2 linked regions of the Rhinolophus ferrumequinum genome follow. The protein of the gene in region 1 binds, or shares a complex with, the protein of each later gene. Links are inferred from orthologs where the notes say so. Each region holds a gene or a part of one and is shown in the gene's direction. Other genes may lie near its edges.

Region 1 (10,394 bases):
CTGGGCGGGGTTGGAGCCAGTGTTGGGCACTGTGGGGCTGGTGTCCCCCTGTTAGGTTCCAGGGTGCTCATTGGTGCAGTTCTCCCCGGTGCCCACAGGGGGGCAGCAGAATCGGAGCGATGGTGCTTCCGAATGGTGCAGGGGACCCCTGTCCTTTGGTTTAAATGGGGAGCTGAGGCCCCAGAAGCAAGAATTTAGGTCCCCCACTGCCTCTGCCCTGCTTATCCAGGACCCTCAGGGTTAGTTAGGCAGAGGGGCCACCGCTCCCCGGGACATTCTCGCCTCATCCTTGAGCGTGCCAGTGCCTTCTGCCTTAGGCTCCTGCTGGAAGCCACCTCGGTTCACCCAGTTTCCTCAGGGCTGCCTTGATGCTTCCCAAACCCCAGCTTCCCTCAGCACAGAATGTACTGCGTGGTCCCAGTGCTTCTCCAGGCTGAGCTACTAGGACCTAAGCCCCACCCTCTCCTGGACTCGCATTGTGAGGGAGGCCCTTTACAAATGGTCTCATTGAATTCTCTCTGCACCCTCTAATACCGTTCCTCACTTTGGGGCTTGGGTTCAAATCCTGACTCTGCCACATACTAGCTGTGTGACTTGGGACAAATTACTTAACCTCTCTGACCTTGGTTTCTTCCGTGGTAAAATGGGCATAGGATTAAAGGAATGACCAGGTGCCTGGCACCGACTAAGTGCTTAGTGTCGTTAAATGGTAGCAATTACTATTCACCCCCTTTTTGCAGATGAGTAAACTGAGGCCCTGAAAGATGAAGTGGCAGAGGCAGGATTAGAACTTGAGACCACGGAGAGGAATGAAGCCCAGAACCCCACCTTCCAACAGGCTTGTGACAATGCCCACCTGCTCAGCCCCTGTAGCCTCAAACCTGACACTCCCTGTGGGGGGCAGGTGCACCCGAATCCCCAGGTCCTTGTGCCAGCGTGAGCCAAGGAAAGCACAGCACAGATCCCAGCTCAGGGCGAGTGTCAGGGGTGAGACTCCTGGCACCCAGAGAAGGACCACTGGGCTGGAGGTCTAGAGACCGTTGTATTATCCCCCATGTCACTTCTCTCTGAGCCTCAGTTTCCTCCCTTATAACATGAGGACAGGCGGTATCTGCCAAACACTCCTGCTACCTGTTTGGCTTTTCTTTCACTGAGGCCAGCACACTGTTCACCCTGTGGACTGAGGGCCCCAGGTCCACTGCCACCTCCCCTCTCTGGGCCCTAAAGAGCGCCCTTAGATCCAGCTTCACTTAGCACACCACACAGGATGAGGGGCTCACCCCTTGCCACTGGCTCGGGCTCCCTAGTGGTCTTCCAGCCAGTCCCCAAACACCCCGCTTCTTTCTGCCTCATTTCCTCCCATCCCAGGCTCTGCCTGCTCCCGCCCTGCCTCCAGTCTGCCAGGCCCCTGGGGAGGCACCCGGAAGAAGCTGCTTGTGTGGTTCGGGCATCAGAGGAGGGCTGCGGCCTCAGCGCGGATCTGGGCCAGGTCCTGGGAGGCAGGGCCCAGCTTCCTCAGCCAGGCTCTCCTGGTTCTTGCACTCCCTTGCTGCCCCCACTCTGCCTCCATTTGGGGCTTTCCCCTTGTCTCCCCTTCTCCTCTCCTTCCCTTCACAGGTGACTTTGGGCAAGTCACTTCTCTGCTCTTAGCTTCCATTTACTGTCTGTAAAGTGGGATCATCCTTGTATCTACTTCCAGTGCCGTTGCAAGGACTCAGAGAGAAAGCACAGATACCACATTTCCTGGGGTGCCTGCCTCTGAGGTTACCCTCGATGCATGCCAGCCTGGCTCAGGGACACCCCTACTCACCCACCTGCTCCCTGCCACATCCCTTCAACCACCACTTCCTGTGGACTTGTTTCCTAAACTGTGTGGATTATTTGTGTGTGTATGGGGTGGGGGGGGCAGTTAATGAAATACTTCAAAGGCACTGAAAAATACTTAAAGTAACATAGAAGCCACCAAGCACTCACCATCTGCCCACATTAACATTTTATCATATTTGCTTCAGATGTTTTTTAAAAATTCTATATGTATATTTTTTCAAACTGTGTTGAGTACCTACTATGTCCCAGACACTGTTCTAAGCACTGGGACACTGCAATGAACAGTATTAAAAACCTAAACCCAGGGAGTTCATTCTCAGGCTGGAGAAAAAAGAGGAAGTCAGAGAGAACCAGGCAGAGGAGAGCATCCAGAATGGGGGAAATAGGTCAGGGAGGCTTCTGGGAGCAAGTGTCATTTAAGCCAGGACCAAAAGGGATTCGGCTATGTGAAAACCTGGGGACAAAGCGTTCCAGGGAAGGGAACGGCATGTGCAAAGGTCCTGAGGCAGAAGAAGCTTATCTGGTACATTTGAAGAATGATGAGGCAGCCTGCATGTCCTAGAGCAAGAGTCCTGAAAGTTGGCTTACTAGGTACAGACCCTGCAGGGCCCTGTGCTCAACTCCTGTTTTGAATCATCTCCTTTAGTTCTTACTACATTTTACAGATGAGAAAACTGAGGCCCACGGTGGACAACTGGCTTAGCTGAAGTCACCCAGCCAGCATGGGGATGTCTTGGGATTTGAAGTCAGACCTGGTCCCACCTCAGAGCTAGGTGAGGACGCTGGGGTGGCCTAGGAGGAAGGGGGAGGGAGAGGCCATCCCAGCCAGGAAATGCTGAAAAGGCAGCAGTTCCTCCCTGGCCCAAGGTTGACCTGAGTCTGAAGGAGGGACCAGCTTTCCTTCCAGTGCTACTGACTCAGGTGCCCTCCTGTCTGACTCCATCTCCCAGGATAGGTGTGGGGCGCCTGAAAGCACTGAAGACCCTGCGTCCACACCCTTGCTTGGGCTCCCCTGAGCCTTAGTGTCCTGCTTCGAGCAATGAGCAGACTTGGCTTGGCGGTCTGACCCTGCTGCCTTGGGCTACCCTAGTAATCATAGGCCTGGGCTGCCCCAGCTCCAGGGCAAGGGGAGGCGGTCATTAGTGCCCCAGACCCTCCAGGCTGGGAGACGGTCCCCTCCCCAGTGCCATTCCTAAACCCTGCCTGGCTGTGTGGATGGGCTGGGCCTGTCTGCCCAGGTCTCAGGTTACCCATTGGTGCCTCAGTGTACCCGTTTAGCCCCCTTCAGTTGGACTGGGTTGGGGCAAGCTGGGCCTCAGAGTCACCTGGGAAATGCCTGGTTTAAAATCCAGATTCTGGGGCTCCACAGGCATTCACATTTGGTGAACGTAGAACTATCTTGTTAACAAGTGTGTGGGTTGGGGGGTGGAGTTCTGCCAATTTGAGAACGCCTGCCTGCCAGGGACCCTTGTCTGTCTGCCTTCCAGCCCTCTCTACCTGTTACAGCCTAGCTTGAATTGTGCCCTCTCCCTGCAGGACACCTGCCCGGGGTCAGATGCCTCTGCTGGGCTCCCACAGCCCCCATACGTTGCCCCATCACAGCACAGTGCACCCCTGGTGCTTGTGGTCTCCACCCAGCTCTGTCTCACCCCCTAGACTGTGCGCTGGGTGTACATGGGTTGGGGGTGGGGTGGGGATGGCATGGTTGCTTACTGACTGATGACTAAGTCCCATTTCAAAGAATGGAGACTGGGGAAAGGCTGGGACTGGCCCCGGATGATAGAGGAGAAGAACTCAAATAGCGAGTAGTAAGAACTCTAATAACAGCTAACACGTAGCTCTTCCTGTTTGCCCGACACATTCTGAGGGCTTTACAAGTAGTAATTAATTTCATCTTCACAATAACCCTTTGAGGTAGGTACTAGTATTATCCACATTTTTACAGATGAGGCACAGAGAGCTTAAGTAACTTGCTCCAGGCTGCACAGCTTCTAAGTGGTGAATTGGGATATGAATTAACAAATTCCTAACGCTTCTCTGTGTGAGGCCGTCATTTTGTGGAAGAAGCAACTGGGGCTCAGGCCTTGTCACTCAGCCAGTGGATGTCAGGACAGGGACCAGAACCCAGGTGTCAGAGCTGCCTGAGCTGCCGGTGCTGGGTGTGGGATGGGCACTGGCCCAAGGAGTTTGACGCCGCTGTCCAGCCAGCTCTGCCCACAACTCAGGTCAAAGCTGCTCTTGCTTTTGCCCATTTATCTCAGCTTCCTCATCTGTAGCACTGGGATAATATTGTTTCCCTCACAGAACTGTTGAGAGCATTAAATCAGTTGAAATCAGGAAAGGGTTTTGAATAGTGCCTGCCACACATTAGGCACTCAAGCTTTGTTGTTTCTAACATTTTCCCCTCCTCTCACCATCCTTACCCCCACCCACCCCTCTTCCAGATCCAGCTCCAATCGGGGAGGGGCTGAGCAGGGCTGACGTGGGTGGAGAGGGCAGCCAGGCCCCTGTTGGTTGGCAGCTGTCTCTGGGAGTCAAAAATCAGGCTTGCCTCCCTTGACACAGCTGGTTGGGTTGGGGACGGGTCCACCTGCCCCACCTAAGCTTCTGGGACCACAGACTTGCCCAGCCCTGAGCCCAGGGCAGCTTATCCTCATCCTGGAAGGAAAGGTTCAGCCTGGAGGCCATTGTCCAGATGAGAAAAGGAGGTCTGAGAGATGGGTGGGGACAAGTTGATTCTCCCTCAGAGAGGGGAGGCCGAGTACAGCTTTGTTTATACACTGTTCCCTGCACAGGAGAGGCCCTTCCCCTTTCTTGGAAAAGGCACAATCCAATCTCAGGACCTTTCCAACTGCCACCTCCTGAGTAAGGGCCTCTCCTCTCTGCTGGGTCTCTGTACCTCACTTTGGCTGATGGCACTCCCAAGAACCCCCTGTGCGGCCACACAGAGCCTTTTATGTCGGGTCCTGAAGGCTGTGTAGGAGTTCCCCAGGGGCTGGGGGCTGAGAAGGGCCTTCCCGGGGGCTGACCACACAGCCAGGGCAAAAAACATGTCAAAAACATGTCGGTGAAGGAGTTTTGGCACACTGGGGAACAGTCAAAGTGTTGTCCCACGAAACTGGTAAAATATTGAGCCAATGGCATCTATGGGGAAAACTGAGGCTGAAGGACCAGAAAGTTGCACCAGTCAGAACTCTCGTGGCTTTCGAGACAGAGCTGTCTCATTACCTGAATATGCACGTCGCTCGCTCGTTGGAGGAGGGAAGAAACGTCCTCCAAATTCGGGAACGCGCGGGGACCCGCTCCAAACTCGTCCCCCAGTTGCCCGCGCTGGAGCCCTGGCTCGCAGACTACAAGTCCCGGCAGGCTCCGCGCCTCAGCGCATGCTCAGCGGGTGTTCCTTCGCGAGTTTGGAGGAGCACCGGGGCCCTGTCTTCCCCCATTGTCTGGCCCGCAGGGGCGGGGCGGGAGGCTCTCGGACGCGCCCATTGGTCGGGCAGTGCGTCAATTGCGACCGGCGCCCACCCCCGTGAAGGCCCCGCCCCGCTCCCGAGCCTGGGCCGCCTGGCGCCCCGCCCGCGCCCCAGGACCGGCGGGGCCGCGCGGCGCATCCTGCAGGCGGCAGCGGCGGCGGCGGGCGCGGCGCCGGCAGCTGGACGCAAGATGATGAAGTTTAGGTTCCGGCGGCAGGGCGCCGACCCGCAGCGCGAGAAGCTCAAACAGGAGCTCTTCGCCTTCAACAAGGTGCGGCGGCGGCGGCGCCCGGGGCTGGGCGGGAGGGGGCGGGCCGGGGACTGGGGCTGGGGGCCCGGGAGCCGGAGCCACGTCGGGCCCGGGGGGAGGGGGCGCCGGGCTGGGGCGCGGCGCGGGGGCCCGGCGCCCCCTCGACTGGCCCCACTTCCCGCCTCCGCCCCTGCTCCGCTCACTGGGTGGGTCTGGGTCTCTCGCCGACTTTCCGTGTCTGCGTCTCCGGGTCTCTGGGCCTCGGTGGCCCTGTCTCTGCGTCTCTCTCTGTGCTCTGACTCTGCATGTCTCCGGGTTTCTGCCCCTGACTGTGGCCGCCTTCCTGTCCTCAGTGTATGCCCGTGTGTCTGCCTCTGTCCCTGTGTGTCTCCTCTGTTTCCCTTCACCTCTCTGCCTCTGCATTTCTGTCTTAGCATCTTTGAGTCTTTGCCTGTCTTTTCCTGCCGGCCTCTCTCCCCCTCGATATGTCTGTGGGGTCTCTGGAACTCTCACTCTGTCTCACCCTCTGTCTCTTTATCCCTCTTTCTTTGGGGGTTCTTCCATAGCCCTGGCAGCCCTTGGGGCAGCCAGGTTCAGGGTTTGTTTTGCTTTCGCACCCGGGCGGGGCAGGAGGGATGAGGAGAGGAGGCAGAGGTTGGGGGTGGGGTGGGGCTGGGAAATCCCTTCCATGCTCCTCTCCTCCCTCCCCCACAGCTTTAGACTCTGCCCTGCCCTGCCGAGGCCTGTGTGCCCAACTGCACTGCAAATCATGGGGCCTCGGTTTCCCTTACTGTGAAATGGGGCCATTTTCCTCCCTGCTGTGAGCCTTGGCTCTGTGTCACATGGGCCCGGGTAGGAGCAGCGGGTCAGTCCCTGCCGCCCTCTGCACTGATGTGCGGCAGCGTGAACCCCCAGCCTGCCCCTGGCTAACTCCTCCCAGAGTGCCGGATCTGGTCTCGAAGCCCTCTGATTGCACAGGTCCTCACTGCTCTTGGGGATCTGAGTTGTTCTCCCCATCATGCAGGTGAGGAAACTGAGGCTCAGAGAGGGGTGATGACTTGCCCAAAGTCCCAGATGGAGCTGGGGCACTTTTTCCTTATGTCCTTTTGTTGGTTGGTTTGGACTTTAACTTTGAGGGGCTGCTGTGGTCCCCGAGGAGACCTGTCCAGGAGGGAGCTCTGGGACAGCTGGACCTGGAGTGGCTGAGGCACCCGGACATCTCTTGGGGCAGGTGGGGGGCTCCTAGGAGCCTCAGACTTGGTGGCCGAGAACCTGTCAGAGGCCTCCGGGGCCGAGAGGGAGGGCCGGTGCCCAGGTGCTCCCAGACGCCCCCCTTCCTGTGCCGGGTGGCCATGAGGGTGAGCCCCTGCGAGGTGAGAGAAGAGTGATGGGGCAGGCACTGAGCTAAGGTGTCACTTCCTCGGCCAGTGAGTGGGGGTGTGAAGTGGGGACCTGAGACAGATGGTGGGGAGGTTCTGTCTCCCTGGCTGGCCCTGGGTTGGCAGAAGGCGAGGGTTCCCCCTAAGGAGAGTGAGGTCCCAATCTGAGTGGGCAGCAGTGCTGGGAGAGGGTGGTCTGGGCAAGGGGCTTGCTCGCCAGAGGGGGTGGTGGGAGACCACTAGAGAATAGGCCCCAGGTTCCCTAGTGGGGGAGGCAGGTCAGGGGCAAGCGTGGACTTTGTCCACACCCAGCCCTGCCTACAAATCGTCTGTGGGACGTCCACAAATACTGTTCCTACCGGGTGTGAGTTCTTCTAGGTGCTGGGGACACCAAAGTGACCAAAAGGGACACATACCTCTTCACTCAGGGGGCTGATGTCCTAGTGGGGGAGACAGAGAAAAGGCAAAACCACAGAGTAAAAGATGCAGCAGTTTGGATGGTAGCCAGTGCTATGGATAAAATAAAGTAGGGTGATGGCCTGGAGCATGTGGATGCGGACGGTGCTGTGGCCAGGGTGGCTTCTGGGGGCCTCTGAGGAGTTGAGTGAACTCGGACCTGAGTGATGGGCAGAAGCCTGCCATGGGGAGTGCGGGTGAAGTGCGTTCCAGGTAGAGGGACAGTAGATGCAAAGGCCCTGAGGCAGGGGCCTGCCTAGTAAATTGGAGGAGAGCCAAAGGCCAGTGAGCCTGGAGTCGTGAGCTGGAGGAGAGTGGCGGGAGGGAAGGGTCAGATGTGAGAGCCCAAGGCCAAGCCAGCTGTCCAGAGGGCTCAGTCCCTGCCTGGATGGGCTGAGGCAGGAGGGAGGCTGGGGCCACAGGCCCAGGAAGCAGGGTTTCTTACAAAATGTGCGTCTTGGTGAGGCAGTGGTCGGGAGGTTCCAGTGGTCCACAGGTGGTACCCCACATTGGCATTCAGAATGGGGCTGGGGGTGCAGACTTCCCATGGAGGGGCCCCCCCAGCTTGGCTTCAGGGCATGAGTGGGAGCACCTTGGGTGGGTGGGCAACGGAGGAAAGCCTACGTCAGGTTGGTGGGTCAGGGCCGGTCTGTGCTGGGACTGGCCCAGCCGGGAGCAGAGGACGGGTGGGAGCTGTTCCACTGACACCCCCAGTGCTCAGGCCCCCTTCACACTCTTCCCACCACAGACGGGGTGGGGATCATGTTCCTCAGTCCCTGCTGTGGAACCCAAGTCTTGGAGGTGGGTGACACCTTCCGGGTCCGGGCAGGACGCTCCCTGGTCCTCAGTCTCCCTGTTGCTGAGTCTGAGGGCTGGGGTGGCTTCTGGACGTTGTCTAGAACCTCTGTCTAGATGACTTTAGGGGTTGGCCTCTGACCTCCACACAGGGCCGCTGTTTGGGGAGCACCACGGACTTCACGGGGGACCCCAGGCAGCATGGGGCCTCACCAAGCTTCAGTCTGTGCCTGTAGGAATGGGGTGCAGAACCCCACCTCCTGAGGCAGATGGGGTCCTCTTCTGTGCCTGCACCTCCTTGAACCTTGTCTTTCCTTTTTGTTGCCAGGGCCCTGTGCACAGTGGGGTGGAAACAGGTGTTGAGAGGGACGGCGGCTTGGCCTGGGGTGGGGCCCAGGGGCTCGGACCCTCCATACCAGCTGGAGGGTGACTGCCCGTTTCGGGGTTCACGACGCAGGCACAGCACAGGTGGACCCGGCTTGAGTCCCAGTGTGCAGCCGCGGCAGAACCTGAGGCTGCCGTGGGTGGGCTGGGCCAGGCCGGGGCGCAGCGGTGCCTGGACAGATGCCCTCCCCTCTCCCGCAGACTGTGGAGCATGGCTTCCCTAACCAGCCCAGCGCCCTGGCCTTTGACCCCGAGCTTCGCATCATGGCCATTGGCACCAGGTCTGGGGCCGTCAAGATGTATCCTTTGCGGACCGTGCCTTCGGGCTGTAAGGACCCCCTGCCTGCAGCTCCCTGGGTGCTGTTTAGGGCCCAGGCTGGGAGGCTGTGGTAGGTGCCTGGATCCTGGTAGAGGCTGCCAGAGCTTCTGCCCTGGGGTACCTCCTCCCAGAGATGGAGGGGGCAGCTTGCAGTGGCCACAGCTGTCCCTTGCTGCATTTCAGCCAGCCAGTTTCCTCGGCGACCCTGTGATCCATCGTCCCAGCAACTGACTAGGGAGGCCAGGCCTGGGCTAGCTGATCACGGCACCTGTTGAGGGTGGTGGGTGGGCCAGGGTCACACAGCCAGCCTTGCCCTGAGGACGGTACTCGTACGTGTGTGACTGTGAAGGCACGTGTGTTCATCAGAGGGGCTGGGGGCAGTGCCAGGCTCTGCATGGTGAGCGCAGCTCAGCCCCCACCTGGATGCTGGCGGCCGCACAATGGGCCATGTGAGCTGCACAAAGCGGGCATTTTCCCTGCGAGCGCAGGGTGGGGGTGGGGTGGGGGCACGCAGACAGCTGATGCCTCCCTGCCTGCCACGCAGCATCCCACCCCCACTGCCCGAAGCGAAGCCTCTCACTCAGGGCAGCCGGGTGCGGTGTGTCTGGCGGCTCCCTGGACAGGGACGGCCACCTCCACCCCTCCCTGTGTGACCGACCCTCTGGGTCTCAGTGTCCCCGTTGGGGGTATCAGTTGACACAAAGTGAGTCAATGCCTATAAAGCGGAGGGGCGGGGGAGGGGTGGGGGTCTCCCCACCCCTGTCTGGGGGCACTGGCCAGGCAGAAGTGGGCATCTGGGCCTGCAGGTGCTGACCTTACCTGCTTTAGGGGCTGTGGCTTGGCCGGATGCCCCCTTCTCCCGTGGGCACCCACTTCCTGGCCTGCTGCTCCTGCCCCTCGAGGTGCTGTTCTGCCCACACGTGTGTCGTGTCCTTGCAGTCGGTGTGTCACTGTGCCCCAGGCCACGCGTCTCAGCCTCTTGAGCTGGCCCTCCTGGTGTGCTGGTCTGTCTTGGGCACTGGCGGCTCGCGCTCACAAAGAGCCTCTTGTACAGACTGGGAGACAGCTTCCGAGGAGGCCAGAGCTCTCCCAGCCCTTCCCTCCTTCCCCCAAACCACCGCGGCCTGGAGCCATGGGTTGGGAAACTGAGGCTGAAGAAGAAGGCCCTGGACACAGAAGCCACCCCTCCCCCTTGAGGCTAGCCTGTCTCCTAGGTGACCCTGGTTCCCGCCCAGCCATCTTGCCCTCTCTTTTGTCCCCTCTTCTGTGTTCTCCCAGCTCCTGCAGGGAATCCCAGCTCCATCTCCAGGCAACGGCTTGGCTCCTGCGTTATCCCCAGGCAGCACCGCTGACCCCTCCCTGCCCTCCCTTCTGGGGCCCCATAGGCCCCGCCCGTCCCCTGTCAGACCTGGAGTTGCCGGGACCCGGGCAGTGACGCCAGGCACTTGAAGCGGGTTACCCAACCTCGACAAGCCTCTGTGTGCCGGCGTGTTTCATGGGCCTGCTCTGGA
Region 2 (10,431 bases), on another chromosome or scaffold:
AGTTTGCAACCAAAAAATTATAAGGCATACAAAGAAACAGACAAATGGGACTCATCCACACAGAAACTGCCTTTGAGAGGACACAGATGTTGGACTTAGCAGACAAAGACTTCATAGCAGCTATTATAAATATGTTCAGAGAACTAAAGGAAACCATGCTTATGAATATAAACTCAAAATTCCTCAATGTCATTTTATCAAACTGAATATAACAACATATAAAAATGACTATATATCCCAACCTAGTGGGATTTGTCCCAGGAAGAAAGGTTAGCTTACATTAAAAAAAAAACAACTAATGTAGCATACCGTATCAATAGAATAAGGGACAAAACCACATGATTATCTCAATAGACACAGAAAAAGAACTAAACAAAACCCAACACCCTTTCATAAGAAAAATAGTCAACAAACTAGAAATAGAATGGAACTTCCTCAACCTGATAAAGGGTATCTGCAAAAAAAACCCCCCAAAAACAAAAACAAAAACAAATAAACAACCCCAAAAAACTAAAATAATCATCACATTTAATCGCCAAAGACTGAAAACTATCATATAAAATTGAAAATAAGACAAAGATGTTCACACTCTCCTCTTTATTCAACATAGTACTACAGGTTCTAGCTAAGGCAATCAGGTAAAAAAAAGGAAATAAAAGGCATCCAGATTGGAAAGAAAGATGTAAATCAATCTGTATTCTAAAATGGCAAAATCTTACATATAGGAAATTCTAAGGAATTCCCTATTAAAACTAAAAACACTATTAAAACTAATAAATGAGTTCAGCAAGCTTGTAGGATACAAGGTATATGCAAAATTAATTGCATTTCTGTACACTAGCAATGAATAATTAAAAATGAAATTAGGATGGGAATGTAATTGATGTAGCCACTATGAAATACAGTATAGAGGTTCCTCAAAAAATTAAAAATAAAACTATCATATGCTCTAGCTATTCCACTTCTGGGTAATTACTCAAAGAAAACAAAAACACAACTCAAAAAGATATCTGCACCATGTTCTTTTAGCATTGTTTACAATTGCCAAGACATGGAAACAACCTAAGTGTCCATTAATGGTTGAATGGATAAAGAAAATATGATATGTATATATGTACATATGTATATATATATACATATATATATACACACACACATATATATATACATATATATGTATATATGTGTGTGTGTGTGTGTGTATATATATATATGTAAATACACACACAAAAGAATATTATTCAGCCATTAAAAAATATCCTGCAATTTGTGACAATGTGAATGGACCTAAGGACTTTAGGCTAAATGAAATAAGTCAGAGAAAGGCAAATACCCTATGATTGCCCTTACAGTGGAATCTAAAACACAAACACAAAACAGAACAAAACAAGCCAAACTCACAGATACAGAGAACAGATTGGTGGTTGCTAGAGGTGAAGGGTGGAGGGTGGAAGAAATTAGTAAAGGTGGTGAAAAGGTACAAACTTCCAGAGACAAGATTAGTCCTGGGGATGTAATGCACAGCATGATGATTAGAGCTCATACTGTATTACATATTTGAAAGTGGCTAAGAGAGTAAATCTTTAAAGTGTTCATCACAAGAAAAAAAATTTGTAACTGTGTAGTGATGGATGTTAACTGGACTTATTGTGGTGATAATTTTGCAAAATATGTCGAATCATGTTGTACACCTGAAACTAATATTATATGTCTTTTATATGTCAATTAAAAGAAGAAAGAAAGGAAGGAAGGAAGGAAGGAAGGAAGGAAGGAAGGAAGGAAGGAAGGAAGGAAGGAAGAAAGGAAGGAAAGAAATCCCCCAGGACATCCCCCTTAGGTTCTGTTTCAATTGATCTGGGATACCCTCCCACTACCACCAAAATAGCTTATAAAAAGCTCCTCAGTGATTCCTATGTGTAGTCAGAGCTAAAAGCCACCAGTGTCTGTATTGATAGGTGAAATAAAATTCTAAAACTTCATGAAATTAACACACTTTTAAGTAATTATTTCTCAAACATTTCAGGATTCCAGGCATTTAGAATGCTCATTTAGAATAATAGAATGAAAAAGTTAAAAAAATGAAATTAAGAAAACAATTCCATTTATAATAGCATCAAAAAGAATAAAATACTTAGGAATAATTTTAACAAAAGAAATGCAAATCACACTATGCAAACCACAAAGCATTGTTGAAAGAAATTAAAGATCTAAATAAATGGAAAAGACATTATGTGTTCATGGCTTGGAAGGCTATATATACGGTTGATATGACAATACTCCACACGCTGCTCTACAGGTTCAACACAACCCCTATCAAAATCCCAACTGACTAGTTTGAAGTAATTGACAAATCGATCCTAAAATTTATACGGAAATGTAAGAGACCCAGAATAGTCAAAACGATCTTAAAAAAGATAAAGTTGTAAAACTCAAATTTCTCTGTTTAAAATTTACTACAAAACTACAGTAATGAAAACTGTGATTTTTGTATTAGGGATAGCTATATAGATCAATGGAATAGAATCAAAGAGTTCAGAAATAAACGCTTACATTTTGGTCAATTGATTTTTGACAAGGGTGCAAGACAATTACATGGGGAAAGAATAGGCTTTTCAACAAATGGCACTGGGATAACTGGATATCCATATGCAAAGAAATGAATCTGGACCACTTATATTACACACAAAAATTAACTCAATATGGATCATAAACCTAAACATAAGAGTTTAAACTATAAAAGTCTTAGAAGAAAACTCATTGTAAAATCTTCATGACCTTCGGTTAGTCAAAGCCTTTTTAGACACGACACAGAAAGCATAAGCAGCAACAACAAAATAGATACATCTGACTTCATCAAAATTAAAAACTATCGTGCTGCAGATGATACACTCAAGAAAATGGAAAAACAATGCACAGAATAGATAATATTTGCAATCATCTAAAAAGGGACTTATTTCCACAATATATAGAGAACTCTTACAACTCAATAAAAAGACATAGGGCACCCAACTTAAAAATGGCCAAAGGATTTAAATAGACATTTCTCCAAAGGAAATATACAAATGGACAATAAAAAATGAAAAGATTCAACATCGTTAATCATTAAGGAAATGCAAATCAAAATCACAATGAGATACCACTTTCACAACCACTGGGGTGGTTATAACAAAGAACACAGTCCATAACAAGTGTTGGTGAGGATGTAAAGAAATTGGACCCCTCATACAAGGCTAGTACAAATGTAAAATGGTGCGGTCACTTTGGAAAACAGTTTGGCATTCCCTTAAGATATTAAACATAGAGCCACCGTATGACTCAGCAATTCTACTCTTACGTATATGCCCAAGAGAATTAAAAACATATTTCACACAAAAACTTATATATGAATGTTCATAGCATCGTTAATGTAGAATGTTTATACAATGAAATAGTATTTAGCCACATATGGGAATGCAGAACTGATATATGATACAACATGGATGAATCTCGAAAACATTAAGCTAAGCTAAAGAAGCCAGACACAAAAGTCCACACATTGTATGATTCCATTTATATGAAACGGCCAGAATAGAAAAATCCGTAGCGACAAGAAATACACTAGTGGTTACCAGAGGCTAAAGAGAGTGGGGAGTTACTGCTAATGAATGTATAGTTTCCTTTTGGGGGGATGGAAATGGTCTGATATTAGATAGTGGAGATGATTGCATAACTTTGTGAATACACTAAAAATTATTGAATTATATACTTTGAATGGACAACTTGTATGGTATGTGAATTATACCTCAATAATGCTGTTAAAAAATTATGGTCATGCTTTGCTTGATAATCACAACTAAAAGCTTTCATCATTCAGAAAAAGAAAACTTATTTATATGGTGGGATGAAGCAAACTATAAATATTTATAGATTCTTTTTGACGACAAAGTAAACAATAAGCCTTTTCTGAGAGAATGGTTACCTTCAAAGGATGCTATAAGGCCAATGATAAAGGATTTTTCAAACTGCTAAGGAATCAGTATCCAAAATAAAACGGTTTCATGCCTTACCTTTCTAAAGTCTCACTTCCCATATAGCAAAAATTTCCTTTTTTAGAGCATATAATGTTTAAAATTTCATAATGTCACAAGCATACCAACTTTTCCATTAGTCCAACTAAAATTTCACAATCTCATTTTAGAAATAGTTTATATTTCATAGCTAACTGATTCATATTTAATATGCTGATGGAGGTCCCCAAGTGCCAAAAATCCTGTTACCAAGGGAGAATTTCAGTGGGGACTTTTATTAAGAGCATATAATCCAAGTTTGTAGCAGTTGAAGAACATTATACCAGGTTAACTGTCACAAATATCTCTGATGAGTCAATCCCATAAGCCTATTTTATCATAGCAAAGACAGTTATTTCGTTAATTATTCCACCCTTTTAGCATGGGTTGGTACCAAGACTGACGCAGGGGCTGGATTCATGCTACGTCTAATTGCAGTGTGTGATGGAGCCAAGACCAGTGGAAAGGCAGGGACTACGCTACAAGGATAGATTTTTTATAATCCTTGGTTAGCCTGTGTTAACAGAAACAATGCTGATGGATGGATGGATGGATGGATGGCCGCAGGCATAAATATTCATCGTACACTTGTTCCATGCAATGGCAACATACAAGGGCGCAGATATGGGGGCCACGAAGGAAGAAAAATCAGTCTTCCATCGCATCTTCTGGTTGAGTTTCCACCTTTATTACATTTGTTACATTATTTAATTGTTTCCATAAAAGAGTCTATGCTAAACAGGTAACCAAATTTGTATTGCCAAAAAAGGCATTGTATAATTGAGATGATTTATGCAATTGGAAGGGAGAATTCATCAGAGAACAAAGTCTAGATCGTGACGAAGCCCAGTCATTTCCAGTGACCTCAGATGCCCAAGCTGGATTCAGGATTTCCACGCCAACAGTTCCTGGGGCGCAACCTGGAGACACTGTCAGAGAGAAGGCGGGGCGTTCCATACGTAAGGAACCTCAAGTCCCAGAATCCCCCGGGGACTCCAAATCCCAGAAACCCACACAGCAAATCTAGCCGAATCCCAAATCGGCTGGCCGCGGACGCGACCAAGTTAGGAAACTGGGGTGAGATGCCGCAGCACTTGTCCCCTACCATTTTCCCTATAGGGAGGGGGCTTTTTACAGAACTATAGTTACTCGAACCGTCGCATTCTCTCAGTCACAGATTCCACGAAAACCTCCCTCCCGGCGTATTTGATGTGAGCATCAGCGTCTCCCATTCTCTCTCCCCCTTTTTCCTTGCCCTCCGTAAGAATGGTTCAGCCGGGCATTGAGGCTCCTTGAGTTGGATAGGTGGTAGTGCCCGCCCTCCCGCGGAATGTGGGCCTTTGGAGCGAGCGAGGTGGGAGGGCCGGAGGCAGGGAGGCGTGCTGGGCCCGGGCGGCTGTAGAGGCGGTGGCGGCTGTGGGCAGTGGGAGGAGCCGCGCGGTTCCGGCTGCCCGGGCGAGGCGACCCTTGGGTCGGCGCCGCGGGCGAGGAGAACAGGTAGGGGAGCGGACTGCCGCGGCTCTGGGAGAGGCTCGAGCAGCGGAGCCCCCCGGCGCGCCCCAGGCACCCTCGGCCTCCGGCGTTGAGGCGGGGGAGTAAGGAGATGCCGACCCAGAGAGACAGCACTACCATGTCTCACCCGATCACAGGCGGCGGCAGCGGGGACCATTCTCACCAGGTCCGGGTGAAAGCTTACTACCGCGGGTGAGTGTCTGGGGGTACGGGTAGGAGGGGAGGGGGAGGGCCAGCTGGATTTGGCCTGGCGGAGGGGTGGGTGAGGGAGAGATGTTGTGGAGGGTTGATCTGAGAGGGCGACTCTGAGGACTCGGGATGGGTGACCGAGTGGTCGGGGGAGGAGCATGGGGCGCTGGATCGGGGCACCCCCAAGGTGTGGTGCAGGGCACCCGGGAATCGCGTGGCTGACTGTCCAGAGTAGAGTCCGCAGGAGGAGCCTTGAAATAGAGTAGGTCCACCTGGTGGGTTCGCGAGACTCGCCTACTAAGAAATTTACAAGGGTTTACGTCATTAGGTCTGGATGTATTTGGGGTTGTGAGAGTTGATTCCAAGTGATGCCTCAGTTAACTTAAGTTGCTATGGGCTTAAACGGCAGGACTGCTTCAGTTTGCTGCCCTTTTGATTTCCAGCAGGCCTAAAGCCTTGGGTTCTCCAAGTCAGGTTTATCTTCATCACCTGTAAGAATTCACGAAGTGTATCTGGACTGTGGTCAAGCTGCCAGTAAATTAGACATACGAGTTACTATTTAAGAGTGAAGTTGATGTGTTTTCAGGGATGTACCTTACGTACTTATGTTTCTCCAAGATTAGATGTGTACGTGTAAAGTAAAATTTTGTGAATACTTCTTTGTCATTGTGGCTTCAAGGATGGTCCCATAGGGTGAGATAATGCAAGGTGAGAAGAGGATGAGCCTAGGCAAAGCTTGAAAATCTGTGATCTTTACTCATGTTATTTATTGCCTAAGTTATAACTCTTGTGGTTACCAGAAATAATCCAGTCCTGAGATCATTATGTTCAGTCATATTCCATGATCAGTGAAGTGCCCCCCTTCCCTTGAATTCAGTTGTGGTTTGAAATTTCTTTGGGGTAATTATATTTAGGAGCATTAGAACAGTGAAATGCTATTGTGAGCCTAAAAGTTTGAAACTAAGGGTTAACAGAAAACCCAACAGCTTTGGCCTGTCTTAGTGCTTGTCGAAGCAGAAGTAAATTGCTTTAAAAAAAAACTCAAGCACTAGGAGGTTGAAACTGCAATGCATACTTTTACATTCCTGAGAGTATCAGTGAAGATAGCAAACTTTCAAAATGCCTCTGTTTTTGATTTCAAAGAAAATATAAGTCCCTAAATGTCGTATTGATTTGATGTAAGGACATACTGGTTTAGTGTGTTTGCTCCATGAAGCCTCTGACCTCTGTGTTAGCTTGACTGCATTCAGGAGTAGTTTACAGGAGATCTTTTGGACAGTATCAGTGATTTTGCTTAAATTGGTCAAGGAGGTCTTGATTTTAAAACAGTACCAAGAAGTGTGTGTAGGTTTTTAAAAAGTTTGTAGTTGTCACAGAGCTGTTTTGATTAAGGATGGTAAGCTATGAACTTTGCACTATGGGGAAAAAAGCTTTCCTCCCTTTAGCTTAACTTTTATTTGATAGATGAGATATTTCACTTTAGAATATGTTCCATTTTATAAAGTTGACAGTCCATGAGTTGTTAGGTACAGAGAATGAAATACAGTACATGTTCTTTTTTTTCTTTTTTTAAAGTGTCTGATTATTGACAATTTAAAAACTAGATTGAAAAATGAATATACGTGTACACAGATGGTAGGAAAGTGCAAATTGTACAGAGGTATAAAATAAAAAGTATTCCCCACCTCATCCTCCCAAACTCCAGAGGTAACTACTATTGACAGTTTATTTCTGGTTCTTCTGGAGGTTGCCTTTATTACTTTAAAAGTTATACTTCTGTTTTGTGATATATCAACTTTAGATAGTATCTGTTGATACTCTGAAAGATGAGAAATTGGGTGCACACAGCCTTTTGCTTTTTCTCCTCCTGGTGCCTCTCAATTTTTGATTGTTAAGCTATTATTTTTAGTTTTCCAGTTTACCTTCATGACTTTAAGTAATATAAATTCTTGACTTATTAAATTTAGATAGTTTCTAGTGATTCCAACTATGAAAGATGAAGAAACTAGTGCCTCTTTGTTTTGTTCCCATTTTTATTAATTTGACAATTGTAAATAGGCCTAATTAATAAATTAAAATCATTGTAAGTTTCTCCTTTGGAAAGAAATCAAAGCCTGGTATATTTCAGGAATGCATTATCATATTTTCTTGGCTCATTGCTCCAATTATTTAAAAAGGAATAAGGAGATAATAACCCTTTTAGTGCTTGACTAAAATTTCTCCAAGACATTAAAGTTAACATTTTCTTTGTTTTTTAAAACCTATGAATTTTTGCTAAGGAATGAAAGAACCCCTTGCTCTGTAGTGCCTTTAATTCAATGAAAGCTTTCTAATAGTGCCTTCATCTCGGGCCTCACTTAAAGACAGCATCAGCACTCTAAATTGTACCAATTTCTGTCCTCTGAAATTAGATCTGTTAAGATTATATGTTTATTAACAGTGGTCTAAACTGATGGGTACGATATGACACAGTCAGCTGCTCATTACTGCAGATGAAACTAAAATGAGTCACCAGTGAGGATAGTGAATAAACAGGTTGGCTAACTAGAACACCTACCTGATTTTAAAATAGAAAATCTTTCCTTTACATCAAGTAATGGAAGGACAGTCTGCGTTGGAAAAAGTTTCTTTTCGTTAGCTCTTCTGAATGGCCATTATCAGAGAGCTTTCTCCTTATACACTGCTAACAATATTTCTTTCCAGTGAATGTTGAACCTCGGAATAGCAGCATTTTTTAGTGAATAAATTGCCTTCTCCTTTCAAAGATGTGTATAAAGTTATATTTCTGTTAAATTTGTTTTTATTGCAAATGTGGTGTCTCCCTAGGTATAGCAGACATTTAATTAGATTTTTTTCCTAGTTTTTTAGTAGGAGTTTAATACTCGCACTGAGGATCTGATTTTATTGGAGACCGTCTAAGAGTGCCTTTGTCACAGCCTGTACCCCTCTTTCCTCGCCACGGTAGCTTGTCAGTGAGCGGCCTTCCTTCTTCAATCATTACCTAGTCGTGTTAGTTTGGAGGAAGAGAAACAAGTTTTGTTGGTTCCTGATAGATTGCCATTGTGTGTGATTATCCTTATATAAAGTTGCTTAATATTATGGGATAGAATTTAACAAATGTCTCAACTACTCATTTCTTTACATTGTAAGTGTATGGGAAATTTTGCAGAAAGCTTGTAAAAAAATGCTTTTTAAACCAAGGCTGTTGAGCAATTATAGCAACCCAGAGGATTTTTTCTGTGCAAACGTACAAATAAAAACATTAACTCCTGCACATTTGGAATGTATAGCTGGTTCAGTGAAGAAATATTTAGGCAGGATTTTTTTTTTTCACTGTTAACAAGTCTTGGCAAGACTTGTTTTTAAAAGCATTGCAAAATAATTTTAGTGATATACTTTAGTAATGGTTCTAAGGAAATACAAATAATATATTGAGTTGAGAATTGGGGGAATGTTAGTTATTGGTGCTAGAGCTTCTGACATAGCACCTAACCACAGGGCACTGATCCATAGCTTTAGCGGAGAGAAAGGGCATTGTGGCCTTGTGCTAAAAACCAAACCAAAACAGCCCTCTTAGAAATCTGAATGGGATAATATGGAGATAAATTGCTTGTTAGCTGTGAGGACTGAAGCTGAAGAGTTGAGGGAGAAGCTGGTAAGGCCAGGACCGCCCCTGTGCAGAGGGAAGGTCTGAGGACGCGGAGGAGAAAGAAGTAGCTAGCTCTCCACGGAAAAATTCTCCTCAGAGGTCCGGGATAGCTTTCAACTCCCAGCCCGCTTTTTAAGATAACTTGAGTGTCCGTTTTTCTGTGGTTGACATGAGCCTAATTAAAACATGAATTTTTAAAATTCCAGTCTTGCTTAGGCTATCACATATTACTTAAGTGTGTTTAAACTCAGTTTAATAAATATTGTTGAACACCTACGACAGGCCAGGCACTTGGTGCTGGGGTGGGTACAGAGGGTGTGGAGGTGGATTAATAGAAGGCTCTGCCCTTGAGGATGTAAGAGATTTGTAGGAGCAAAGACATGGAAGAGTTAATAAAGGTAGAGAGGTGTGTGTGTGTGCGCGTGTGCGTGTGTGTCAGTGTCACTGCAGGGATGGATACTGGAGAGAAGGGGTGAGGGAAGCCTTCCTGGAGGATGAAATGTCTGAGGCCTTTTAGAGGATAAGTAGGTTTGTTGGTGGGGGTGGTGTTGGGTGGGGCATGGTTCCAGGCCTTGCACAGCTGTGTGTTCTGTTTGGGGAATTAAAATCAGTTTAGTTGTTTAGACCCATGTGCATTCCTTATTAGTACATAAGCATGAAGTGGGCACTGATGAGAAGTGAGGTATTAAGAAGGTTCACAGGCACTAGTCTTTGAAGACTCTTGCTTCAGACTTTTTTCTTTGGTGAAGGTTTTAAGTAAGAGACAGACAGATTTTCATTTCAGACAGATCGCTCTTGGAACCAGTATGGCAATTGAATTGGTGATGGATGACACTAATTTGGAGGCTTTGGAAGTAGTCCAGGTGAGAGATTATGAGGGGGATAGAAAAGAGGACATGGATTCAGTGGCAATGAATTACAGACCGATTTCCAATGGGAAGGGGTGCGGAAATGACAACTCATTGGTGTCTTGTTTGAGAGACTAGGAAATATAGAAGAAAGAGATGTGTAGGAGAAGGTACACATCTGGATTAC

Evidence for each region. The genes of interacting proteins can lie anywhere in the genome.
Region 2: the proteins of LLGL1 (region 1) and PRKCI are in contact, whole or in part, in a cryo-EM structure (PDB 8R3Y), measured with the Homo sapiens proteins. The link is inferred for Rhinolophus ferrumequinum from reciprocal best matches to the Homo sapiens genes LLGL1 and PRKCI. Residues at the interface, in NP_004131.4 of Homo sapiens: Ala315, Asp319, Glu367, His391, Ser392, Ala394, Thr396, Glu453, Cys483, Glu484, His485, Phe506, Asp507, Pro508, Tyr509, Ser510, Asp511, Pro513, Gln518, Lys519, Lys569, Ala600, Val601, Thr602, Leu644, Gly648, Pro649, Leu650, Ser651, Arg652; in NP_002731.4 of Homo sapiens: Asp339, Met341, Gln345, Arg348, Leu381, Asp382, Met399, Thr412, Phe413, Cys414, Pro417, Leu425, Glu445, Gly449, Arg450, Ser451, Gly457, Ser458, Ser459, Asp460, Asn461, Pro462, Asp463, Asn465, Thr466, Glu467, Asp468, Tyr469, Leu470, Phe471.

What each region holds. Positions count from the first base shown.
Region 1 is NC_046304.1:636,434-646,827, reverse strand, and holds the start of LLGL1 (lethal(2) giant larvae protein homolog 1), read left to right. Parts: upstream 1-5,423; 5' UTR 5,424-5,490; coding exon 5,491-5,571; intron 5,572-8,765; coding exon 8,766-8,863; intron 8,864-10,394. UniProt on the Homo sapiens protein: Cortical cytoskeleton protein found in a complex involved in maintaining cell polarity and epithelial integrity. Involved in the regulation of mitotic spindle orientation, proliferation, differentiation and tissue organization of neuroepithelial cells.
Region 2 is NC_046285.1:72,046,354-72,056,784, reverse strand, and holds the start of PRKCI (protein kinase C iota type), read left to right. Parts: upstream 1-5,353; 5' UTR 5,354-5,649; coding exon 5,650-5,750; intron 5,751-10,431.